Linked DNA regions of Bombyx mori. Each later gene encodes a partner of the first gene's protein in a complex. Links are inferred from orthologs where the notes say so. Each region holds a gene or a part of one and is shown in the gene's direction. Other genes may lie near its edges.

Region 1 (4,343 bases):
GTTTCCTTTCTTTTCATTTAAAGTTCGCTCTAACTGTTGGATACACCAACATAACTCGAGCTGAAACTGTCGTAACGATTCCTCGGGGTCTACACCTTCGGACTCATGTTTATCAATTTTACAAGGTTTCTGTAAAGATGTCGATTTGCCTTTATTGTGCAATCTTGTTGGTTTAGGCATTTTATTTATGATATTTTATATCGCCACGTTTTGAAACTTTGTTAATTCCAGAGAAGTTTTGATGAAGTGTAATCTGTGTATTATTATAATAACGGATGTATGTAACGTTCTCTTTGTAGTAACGAAACCAAGTCAACAGAGGACACTAACTTGGAAAAAACTGAAAACAAATTTATAGCATAGATAATTAAGTAGCATTTAGATCGGGTGCACATTGTCATTCCTGCCGGCACCAGTTTATTGTCTATGGTTGATACAGACTGTCCCGGTGACTATTTTATTTATTTATTATTGTACAATATATGCAATGCGATAGATTTTTATTTTAGACTAGCTGACCCGGCAGACCTCGTAGTGCTTCAATCGTTAAATAAAAGACCTAAACTTTTGTATAAAATAAACTTAAAACAAACAGCAGGAGTCCGTCCGACGGGGGACACATCAAAGGAAAAACAAATTGTTATTTTTATTTAATTCCAAGCATTTTCATATTTATCTACCTTTCAAACCTTCTCTGGACTTCCACAAATAACTCAAGACCAAAATTAGCCAAATCAGTCAAGCCGTTCTCGAGTTTTAGCGAGACTAACGAACAGCAATTCATTTATATATATATAAGATACGATAAGATAAGATAAGATAGATAGAAGATAGATTAAAGGTATTAAAAACTAAACTTCGCATTATGCCAATAGTTTGATGAATCGTTCGAATTAATTCTCTTCTGTACGTGTTATCAAATAAACCGGCCCAACCGATACGAATGAGTATTTCCGTCCGGGCTTAACATAGACAAATATTTTGAAGAAAAAAAATGTTTGCCAGGGAAGACCGCTGATGATTCTAATAATTCCTCAAATTTCTCATTAATATTAAGTTTAAACGAATCTTGTGTCTAATTTATATTTATGTACTCTATTATGGCAGATTAATCTCTACATTGGAAATCTGTAAGCTTAGCTCAAAAAATTTTATACCAAAAAGTTCACAAAGTTTAATTTATAATTAATAATTTTATTATTTAATTAATTTAATAGTTAATTTATGTATAATATAATTAATATAGCAGATTTTTCATAAAAACCCGTTCCTATGTAATGTTCCTCCTTTTAGTCGATACGCGCCTGCAATATTTCTTTACAATCATACGATCACATAGCGACATCCGGCTGTGACATAACGTTTTAAAAATTGGTACTAAAACGTAACCTTAAAGTTGTAAAAGCAATTCCAAAATTTCATAGTATGCCGCTTGGAAAATTTGGAAAAATTACTCTTTCGTGGTAAATAACTAAATAAGATATACCCAAGTTTATCACCAGCTTACTTTTGATTTACCTTTCGTTGGTGAGCGCAGAATTAAATTCGATTTTACTCATTTCATCATTCGTCTATTTAGCCAAGTTCTATTTTGTGTAAATATAATTCTACAAGATAAGTCAATTACCTATCACAGCGTATTATTATGCTCGCCTTTTATTACTTATTAATAAGAAAACATGAAAATTAAGTTATATACTCCACAACCTTGACTCTCATGTGTCTTCAGCCACAAGAAATCCATCAAAAATAACGTCATAACTTTGGAATAAACGTTAAAAGCGAAGATCTTCGAGCAAGCGGGTTTCATTTCTAGGGTAGACCCACGATCTTTTGTAAATATGCATACTTATCTTGGAAATGTTGTTAATGCGATTCAGTTATTTTGGAAATTACTTATAGTCTATGTTACCTTATACTACTACGCAAATACAAGACGAATCTGTATTCTAAATGAATTTGAACTCACGTTTATGCATTTAGATTAAAACTAGTGGATTTTATATGCATATTTTGTGGATTCTAACTTAATTAAAACTTGATAAGTCTAGTTTCTGAGATAAGTAGCTGTTATCGGCTGTTTCGCCTGTGGCGTTATAGAAATGTGTCAATTTAGTTTCCTGTGGGTATGAGATGTTTTTTTGGAATAAAAATCTCCTGACCTAAAACTATGTCAAAAAAATCATGTTAATTTATTGCTTCATTTTAAAGTGAATTAAAGACAGACAAGCACACTTTTTAATTTATACCATTAGTATCAACGTGTATGATGTAGTATGATTTTATTAATTAAGCTTAGTTATTTTATGTTACACGTTTCACAAATGTTCCAGACCCATTAGCAGAGAGAGGATGTTTTAACCCAGGATCGGTGTTAATTTCAGGTTAGCAATAACAACAGCAAGTTTATCATTATTCGTGGTGGCGAAGAACTACATTAATACTCAGCGTGTTGAGAATATGAAAGCAAGAGAACGCATGCGAAGATCTAATCAAGGAGAATACCCTGACTTGTATCGGAAATTGTGAACTTGAATTCATTATAATGTGAGTATCTCTCTAGTAACTCTAGAAAATACTGGTGAGTAACACTAAATTAACTGGTGATAGGACCTCATGTGAGTCCTCATGGTTAGGTACCACCACCCTGCATATTTCTACCGGGAGCAGTAATGAGTTTCGGTTTGAAGATTGGGGCAGTCGTCCTAACTATAGTGAGAGCTTTGAACCCATATCTCAAGGTGGGTGGCGGCATTTACGTTGTAAATGTCTGGACTCCAGATACAACTTAACACCAAGTGGGCTGTGATCTCGTCCGACTAACTAAGAAAAAAATTTGTATACAGTGTATGAATGTAACTAAAAAATATTTTAATCTACTGTAGTTTCCAGATATACCATTGAACATTACTTAGTTAAAACGTAAAGATGGCAGTACCGCAGCTAGACCCTGCAAAGCTGCAATTGGTGCAGGAACTGGAGATTGAGATGATGTCCGACATGTACAACCGCTTGGTGAGCGCATGTCACCGGAAGTGCATACCAATTAAATATCATGAACCTGAATTAGGTAAGCCAGGCAAAAAAAAATATGGCGAACATTATAATTATAGGGACCTTCAAAATTGTATTCATTGTGACACACAAATGGTTTATTAAACTGTGGTCGTCGTGGCCTAAAGGATAAGACGTCCGGTGAATTCGTATGTAGCGATGCATCGGTGTTAGAATCCCACCAGTAGTTACCAATTTTTCAATCAAATACATACTTAACAAATGTTCGCGATTGACTTCCATGATGAACGAATAATATCAAATAAAAAGTGTAATAGAAATCAAACCCGCAAAATTATAATTTGCATAATTACTGGTGGTAGGACGTCTTGTGAGCCCACTCAGATAGGTACCATCACCCCACCTATTTCTGCCGTGAAGCAGTAATGCGTTTCGGTTTGAAGGGCGGGGCAGCTGTACTGTTAAAAGTGACACCTTACAACTCATGTCTCAAGGTGTGTGGCGGCATTTACGTTCTAGATGTCTATGGGCTCCGGTAACCACTTAACACCCGGTGGGCCGTCTATCTAAGCAATAAAAAAGAAAAGAAAGATAATTATGACCTTCAATGTCCATTTGTTTCTTTTTAAGCCATCACACTTATGAAGTTTATGACCTATAGTTTATAATTATTATTATAAGCTAAGCTTTAGGGTTATACACTGTTACAGGACATCTACAAATACAAAAATATATAGATGATATAAAGATAGGTGATATTTAGAAAACTGATGTAGCATATGCTTTTAAAATAGATACAAGTATTTAAGAGATTTAATTGCCTCGCTTATATAGGATGAGTTAATTTTGAACATGATCTTCTCTTCTTACAGGAAAAGGCGAATCTGTATGTTTAGATCGCTGTGTAGCCAAATACTTGGACGTACATGAACGCATAGGTAAGAAACTTTCCAATATGTCACAAGGAGAAACCGAAGATCTCACAAAGGTCAACATACCAGACAAAAAATAGTACGAAGCTACTACTCACGACAAATCAATCAGTTGCTAGATTTTTCACAGTGACCAGTACAAGACATCTGCAGATTTGAGATATTTTGTTGTGAAAAATTTGCAGTAATATATAGGTGAAGTAGTCTTTCTATATATAATATTAATTCTGCCATTATGTCAGTACTTCACTATGAGAAAACAATCTACTATCACTAGTAATCTCGAGAGATTATGCTACCTTGGTCATCTACCCTAACAAGGGCAGTGCTTCACTTGTGACGTTTGGGAAATAATGTTACTCAATTTTGTCTGTGTAGTTCAAAATTCAAATTTTT
Region 2 (3,310 bases), on another chromosome or scaffold:
ACTAGTGAGAAACTCAGTAGGTAACTACTACTAGTGGCTAAAGAAAACCATGCAGTTTTTTTCCTTAATGGGCTAATGGGCTCATGGCTATCTTGATGTTACTAGCACAAGATTTATTCTGGTTTGAACGGCAGGGCAGCCACTGTAGTATGGAACTGATGTCTCAAGGTGGGTGGCATCTCATACATTTACTTATTGGTGAAAATGAATAGTTTTAGTGGAGTTTATAAACTTGTTTCACTTACCTTGTACTTTGTGTATAAATCTTCAGATTCGAGTTCATCAAAAGATTGAGGACCAGCAAACGCCAAGCCTTTTGAGTCTGTGACTTGGTCATCCTAAAAAGTTCAATATTATGTGTAAAGGTTGTGTTACAGTTATTCGATTAGTAAGCCTTTTTTTGAATACTTACTTTCTCGGGTAAAATAATTCCAATCTCTTCCATTGTTTCTATAGCTAAGAGATTTCGTGTACTATCTGATTATTATTTGATTATCTGAAATGTGTTTTACACAGAGACAAAGTGTAGTAGACGATCAAACCTGAACATTCGTACCTAGTTATTATTTGGTTATTTTAATTCTTTCTGTCTAAAACTGCAATTCAATGATTTTTGACATTTCGTAGCGCAAACTTTTTAAGATGTGTAGTTTGTTCTTAGTTGATAGGCAAAGGAAATGTAGTCATATCACTCTAATAGCTTTTTTTAAATGAAATGGTTAAATAATTATTTCGTGTTTCATTAGAATGAAGTGAACCCTTTCAAAAGAAAAGTAAAATTAAATAGAATGAAATAAACCAAAATTGGAAATGACTCTGAAACAAAAAAAATCAATAAAATGACATAGGTACCTCAGTTAATTACAAACTGCAATGGAAGCTCTGGAAAATACATAAGAAGTTATGTGAGGCCATTTTTTTCTAAATATTGACATTGTGCATATTGACAAAAATTAAATGAGTCAAGCATACGAATGCATGCAATCTTCCAAGATCAACTTTCAATTTTTATAATGTTGGAAACGCGAAACGTATAACATGGGTCGGCGCGGCGGTCCAGATGCAGACCGCGCTCTGCCCACAGATTGGTATAATAGTTACTACGTGTCTGTTTAAGGTCAAGTCATAGTCAAGTCAAATAGTGAATTCATAATCTTAATATTTGGCTTTTTTAGTCTGTACATTCGCTATACCTTTGCCTGTCAAATGGTACAACAAAATAAAAAAGGCTTCTAATCTAACCTAAAATTGAAACATTACAATAATTCATAAAAATATTAAATAAATATTTAGATTTAATATAAATATTGTAAAAATACTAAACAATCACACTGTTCTAAACTTTTCTTGAAGATATACAGAAATGGCGACCCCTGAAATGATGAGTGAAGTTGATCAAATTAAAACTGTAAATATTTAGTATTTTCACGAAATAATTTGTTAAATAATGTTATTTCTGAATTATTCCACTTATTTAAAAATATAATTTAATTTCTTAAATTCTTTAACATTTCTCCAATAATTATCATCTATATGCCGGTACATTTTGTTTAGTGTTTTCAAATTTCAGTAGAAAATTTAATTTTTTTCAAATTTCATTTCAGTTCAAGGATTTCCTTGTACAATACAACAAGCTGTCTGAACTTTGTTTCAATGATTGCATTCATGATTTTACGTCGAGGACTTTAAAATCTACCGAGGTAAGGAATAGCTCGATTAGTTAACTATATTTTCGTCTGTTACTTTGCCCCCGTGTAACGCTCTTTTATGTGTGTTCCACGGTGGCATGAAATGTAGCTTAATTCTTAGAGGAATATAAGCTTATTACTTTCCCTGATATAATACTATTTTCCCTGAATTTTCAAAATTAGTTCAGCAATTTAAGTGTCAAAATTGAATACAGCAGTTACTTTCTTGTTAATTATATCATTTGAAATATAACTTTCAATCACTGTTAAAAATACCATTTGCAGCATATGATTTTAATGTAAGAAACCTTATGTTCTGTTCAAAATCTGTAATCTGCCCATCTGTCTGTGAAAAACTACATGTAAATGTATACAGTAGATCTGGAGCACTGAATATGGACAGCCAAATAGAGACTGGCAGAAAATAATTACAGGAACTGCTGGCTTCTATAATTCTTTATTTCATTTTTTTCTTTAATGTACAGAGTCACCAGATTCAGTGTTATCTCATGAATATTAATGAGTTTTTTCTTTATTCTCATTTTGTGGCATTTGTTGACAAATAGTTCAAGTAATTATTATTTTTGGCTTTTATTACATTTGACAGGTGAGCATTGTATCCCTGTGATTATTAAAGCAGGATAGCAGTTAGTGGGAATGTTAAATGAAAATGGGTGTTTCATTACATAGATCACTGATTGAAATGTGTTATCTTTTAGGACAAATGCACTGTCAACTGTATGGAGAAATATCTACGAATGAATCAGAGGGTTTCACAAAGATTCCATGAGTTCCAAATGCTTGCCAATGAAAACATGTTAGCATTAGCACAAAAATCTGGTAACCCTAGTTAAAAAGTATGGTATATTTGTGACTTATCTAGTCATTTTCTTTAAGGTGTAGTAAGAGAAAGCACACCCTATATAATGATATACTTGTGCAAATGTACAGTGTATGTCTAAATTGTTGTCAATAAAGTTCTGTTAGACAGATTCTTTGTTTTTCATTGCTTATCATTATTTTCAAATTCACTAATAGTGAATTACTGTCACACTTGGTTGTGTTATGTAAGATTATCATGAAAAAGTTCAATTCGTGTTTTTGATGAATTTATTCTAATTTTTGATAGTAATTGATATGGAAATTCATTAATTTGCTAAATTGTAACTTTCATAGACTAATCATAATTATTAATTTCGAAATTCAAAATGGAAGCATGACATATTTATTTTTTGGTTCCAAAGCTGCCACTGCCTGCACCGTGGCATTGCTTCACGGATCTGATATATCATTACCTGTCTATTTTATCATCATACTACTCGTTGCTAGATTAGAAATCACTAGCTTTATAAGGAGCTGTTTTACATACAATACATTTTATTTTCTTTTTACCATGAAATCTTTTGAGTTAATCCATTTATAGACAGAGATGATCACTTTGTGAGGTCAGTGTGCTTAGCGAATCAATCAATAGCGAAAAAGTTAACTCATATTTGTAGGCAGTTCGAACAGCGCCCCTAGCGGCAAACGTAGGCAAACGTTTTCAACTACATACAAATTTGAGTTACCTAACTTTTATGCTATGGAGAACGTTAAAAAACTCGCACTAAGCACACAACAGT
Region 3 (4,129 bases), on another chromosome or scaffold:
GCTGCACTTCGATTATTTAATGGTTTCGTCATAGTTTGAGTTAAAATCGATTTTATGTGCACATTCTTCTAATTTCTGACAACGGAAAACTCATCATTTAATTTTCATGCAAGTAAATAATATTTATAGCGATAAAAAAAATGGATAAAGTGATATTTTACATCCCCATTGATCGATTGTGCATGTGAAATCATTGGAACACATTAAATTGAATTGTGAGGAATTGATTACTCTGGTAACAATTTAATGACATGATTTTGGAATTTTTTAGCGGGAACACCAAAAAATTACTGAAGGATTTACTATTATATTCTCAATTTAATGTTTCTTCTTAAATTTAGATATGTAATAAAAAAAATACTAGACCAATATCAACCGTTTAGTATCTACATAGGTCACATCTACACAAATTGCGGGAAAATGAAGCTGCACTTGACTTCTCAGGTTCTTTTTATGATTCATCAAAATTTTATAATTTTACTCGGTGATTATTTTATTTTATCCCATCTTGCACCTACGTTGTTGACCTATGTCACCGGATTCATATTGTTTCATTTTATTCCTCTCAATTTCATTTCCATGCTATTTCACTTTTTATACAACAAAAATTTCGCTTTGGCAGAGCGACCAGGATTTGACTGTATGAGCTACTTTTCCTTTACCTGTCATTGACTTTTTTTTTAGGAATTTTAATGGCATAAACTTTTTTTTTTTAAGAGATTTTATGACCTGGTAACTAAGACCTTTAAGTCATGTCTTATTTTACTTTATATTCTTAATTTTATGAAAAATGATAATATGGAGTGGAATGAAATGAAGATGATTAATGAGACATTAAGCAACTGGGATGAAATTTAATGAAATGAAATGATATGGGATGAAATATAATCGCAGTAAAATGGTGGTCATTTACTGAGATTTTTTCAGTGGTCTTTTTGAAGGAACCCGAGAAGTTACGTCCAGCAGCTTTGTTTCATTTTCCCACATTTGTGCACTTTCACAGATATTAAACAGTTAATAAACCACCATTATTACACATTTAAACCTGAAGAGACACTAAATAGACAAAATAAAACAAATCACACAACTTCACTCCTCGCGTTCCCGCCAAAAAGTCCTAATGGCATAAAAAGACTTTCGAGTCATAGATTATGAAAAAAATAAATAGTGAAATAGCATTTAATCAATTGGGATGAAATAAAAGGAAACAAGATGAAATAGAATAAATTTTACGAGACTTTTTAGTTTTTGAGTTGACTTTTTCAGCACAGCAGCTTTGTTCATTTTACCACATTTGTGTGCTTTCACAGATGGGATGGTAATTACATTGAAGCCTGAAGAACAGCAAAATTAACAAAATAAAACAATTCACCAACTTCGTTCCTATGTGAATAGACGAAATAAACAAAACAAAACAATAAATTTTAAACAGCTCAACAAGGACATGGCCAGAAGCCGATTGCCATTCTGAAAAAAAAAGTAGAATTATACAGCTGATCTGTAAGTTCTATAACCTTAAATGTTTATGTTTATAGTTTGATTTATTCGATTTAATGCAAAAAAATGGAAAGAATAGCGAAGTTTGCCAAAACAATACGAAACAATTGGAAGAAATCAGTCCTTGGTGCAGTCGCTATATACTACGCTAGTGCGACTGCAAAAGAAAAATATGAGTGCGTAAAATTTCAAATTAAAAACTAAATTTTGTAACTGAGTTACTAATTCACAAAAAAAGTTTTCATCTCTTCACCATGGCAGTCATACGAACCAAACTGATGTTATGCAGCTACCGTACCTACTCACTACAAGCATTTCCAGAACCACAGCTTATGTGCTATCTACTACTAAAGATTTGACCAACACTTTAACTGTCCAGCCAAGTTAATCGCCCCTTTATCACCTGTGCGCCTACCACTTAAGTTTAAAAAATCTAGTTTATGTATTGTCAACAGAATTAATATACTTATGCGAGCAGCATGTAAAGAGGCTGCAATTTACGGCGAAGCTCTCCTGCCCATCGAAAGAAACCCCACAGTCATAACAGTTATTCTCAACCCTGTAGCCAACAAGAGGAAAGCAAAACAAGAATTTGAGAAATATTGTGAACCATTGCTATTATTAGGTGGTTTACAGGTATAATCTTCTATCTTCTATATCTATTCTATATATATATATATATAAATGAATTGCTGTTCGTTAGTCTCGCTAAAATAGAGAACGACTGGACCGATTTGGCTAATTTTGGTCTTAAATTATTTGTGGAAATCCAGAGAAGGTTTAAAAGGTAGATAAATATGAAAATACTCAAAATTGAATAAAAATAGCACTTTTTTCCTTTGATATGTCCCCCCTGTTGGATGGATTCCATTTGTTTGTTCTAAGTTTATTTTATACAAAAGCTTAGGTATTTTATTTATCGATTGAGGCACTAAAAAGTGCTAGGTCAACTAGTTTTCAATAAATTGTTTATACATTTGATCTGTCATTAGACAAATGTCTTGCAATGGGGTTTGAATTATGTTGTATACATAGTTCAAACATGCATTAATGAAAATTTAACAGAATTAATTTATATTGAGGGGTAAAAGGCTATTTCATTAGCTTTATTTACAAAGATAAATGTCACATATTAAGCAATATGTCTCTTAATCTAAATGATATGATCCAGACCTGATATGATCCAGTTACAGGCATATTAAATTAGTGCTGGTCTACTGTATAAAGAATTTGCATTTTATGTTACATATATTTGATAAAAATCTGAAATAAAATGTAAAGATTTCGCTTCTTTAATCTAGATCAATATTTTCATCTAATTCAAATCAATATATTTACAGCCCATAGCTTTAATTGCTCTATGGATGGATGAGCTCACGGACCACCTGGTGTTAAGTGGCTAACGAAGCCTATACACATCTACAATGTAAATCTAGCTACCTACCTTGAGATATGCGTTCTAAAGTCTTCATTTTTACAGTACAATGACTGCCCCACCCTTCAAACCAAATTGCATTACTGCTTCTCAGCAAAAAATAGGCAGGGTGGTGGTACCTACCCACACAGAGACTTACAAGATGTCTTACCACAAGTAGAAATAGTTTGATGGATTCAATTCATGAATACCATTCTCCTTGACACATGACCCATGTGCTTAGCACAACTATACAACAATCACAAACTTTTCAGGTAGATGTTGTGCAAACAGCTTCAGAAGGAAATGCAAAAGAAATTGTAGAAACATTAAGGGGTACTGAAGCTATTATTGTTGCAGGAGGAGATGGTACTTTGTCTGAGACTGTAACTGGTAAGAATGTGTTTGCATTACACATGAAAGTTCAAGCTGAATATTTTTATTTCTTATTTCCTACAAATGCTACATACGGAGCTATTATATATGTACATTATTCTTTTTCTTTTTTTTATTGCTTAGATGGGTGGATGAGCTCACAGCCCACCTGATTTAAAGTGGTTGCTGGAGCCCATAGACATCTACAACGTAAATGCGCCAACCACCTTGAGATATGAGTTCAAAGGTCTCAGTATAGTTACAACGGCTGCCCCACCCTTCAAACCGAAACGCATTACTGCATCACGGCAGCACAAGAGGTTCTACCACCAGTAATTAGGCAAATTAGAATTTTTGCGGGTTTGATTTTTATTACATGTTATTCCTTCACTGTGGAAGTCAATCATGAACATTTGTGAAGTACGTATTTCAATAGAAAAATTGGTACCCGCCTGCGGGATTCGAACACCCGTGCATCGTTAGATACGAATGCACCGGACGTCTTATCCTTTGGGCTACGACGACTTATATTCATTATACATTGCCTTGGAATACTCTGTAAATGGAGGCCACAGTGGGGACTGTTATGATTTAAATTTTGAGTGAATAATAATAATTAGATAATTTTTCTGAATAAATTGTATCCTAAAAACATATATATATTTGAGGCCTATAAAATCAAAGGCAGCTAAACGCCATAATGTCGTAAAATGTATTAACAATGGCTCTATCTTGTTTAGTTAGTTGAACATGCTTTAGTGTTTTCATGTTATAACAAATGCAGCTAAATCTCTAACAAATTCAGTTCAAAAAAGTTATGTTTACTCTGTATTAAGTACTAAT

Evidence for each region.
Region 2: the proteins of Tim10 (region 1) and mitochondrial import inner membrane translocase subunit Tim9A are in contact, whole or in part, in a crystal structure (PDB 2BSK), measured with the Homo sapiens proteins. The link is inferred for Bombyx mori from reciprocal best matches to the Homo sapiens genes TIMM10 and TIMM9. Residues at the interface, in NP_036588.1 of Homo sapiens: Glu16, Met17, Asp20, Met21, Arg24, Ala28, Cys29, Lys32, Cys50, Arg53, Cys54, Ser56, Lys57, Tyr58, Asp60, Ile61, His62, Arg64, Met65, Gly66, Lys68, Leu69, Leu72; in NP_001291414.1 of Homo sapiens: Lys15, Leu18, Gly19, Tyr21, Asn22, Lys23, Thr25, Glu26, Cys28, Phe29, Leu30, Val33, Asp35, Phe36, Thr37, Thr38, Arg39, Glu40, Val41, Glu45, Thr46, Glu50, Leu53, Leu57.
Region 3: the proteins of Tim10 (region 1) and acylglycerol kinase, mitochondrial are in contact, whole or in part, in a cryo-EM structure (PDB 7CGP), measured with the Homo sapiens proteins. The link is inferred for Bombyx mori from reciprocal best matches to the Homo sapiens genes TIMM10 and AGK. Residues at the interface, in NP_036588.1 of Homo sapiens: Glu40, Glu42, Leu43, Ser44, Lys45, Gly46, Ser48, Arg53; in NP_060708.1 of Homo sapiens: Phe49, Gly50, Asn51, Gln52, Leu53, Ile54, Pro55, Pro56, Val60, Ser91, Gly92, Met93, Asp94, Val95.

The regions. Positions count from the first base shown.
Region 1 is NC_085130.1:5,899,619-5,903,961, reverse strand, and holds Tim10 (mitochondrial intermembrane space translocase subunit Tim10), read left to right. Parts: upstream 1-1,397; 5' UTR 1,398-1,527; intron 1,528-2,384; 5' UTR 2,385-2,547; intron 2,548-2,885; 5' UTR 2,886-2,928; coding exon 2,929-3,070; intron 3,071-3,887; coding exon 3,888-4,027; 3' UTR 4,028-4,086; downstream 4,087-4,343.
Region 2 is NC_085124.1:8,580,205-8,583,514, forward strand, and holds mitochondrial import inner membrane translocase subunit Tim9A, read left to right. Parts: upstream 1-1,248; 5' UTR 1,249-1,363; coding exon 1,364-1,408; intron 1,409-1,604; coding exon 1,605-1,700; intron 1,701-2,407; coding exon 2,408-2,542; 3' UTR 2,543-2,679; downstream 2,680-3,310. Other genes in the region: 26S protease regulatory subunit 6B, read right to left, coding at 246-338, 413-445. UniProt on the Homo sapiens protein: Mitochondrial intermembrane chaperone that participates in the import and insertion of multi-pass transmembrane proteins into the mitochondrial inner membrane.
Region 3 is NC_085118.1:2,014,735-2,018,863, reverse strand, and holds the start of acylglycerol kinase, mitochondrial, read left to right. Parts: upstream 1-1,179; 5' UTR 1,180-1,563; coding exon 1,564-1,673; intron 1,674-1,952; coding exon 1,953-2,133; intron 2,134-3,186; coding exon 3,187-3,304; intron 3,305-4,129. UniProt on the Homo sapiens protein: Lipid kinase that can phosphorylate both monoacylglycerol and diacylglycerol to form lysophosphatidic acid (LPA) and phosphatidic acid (PA), respectively. Does not phosphorylate sphingosine. Phosphorylates ceramide.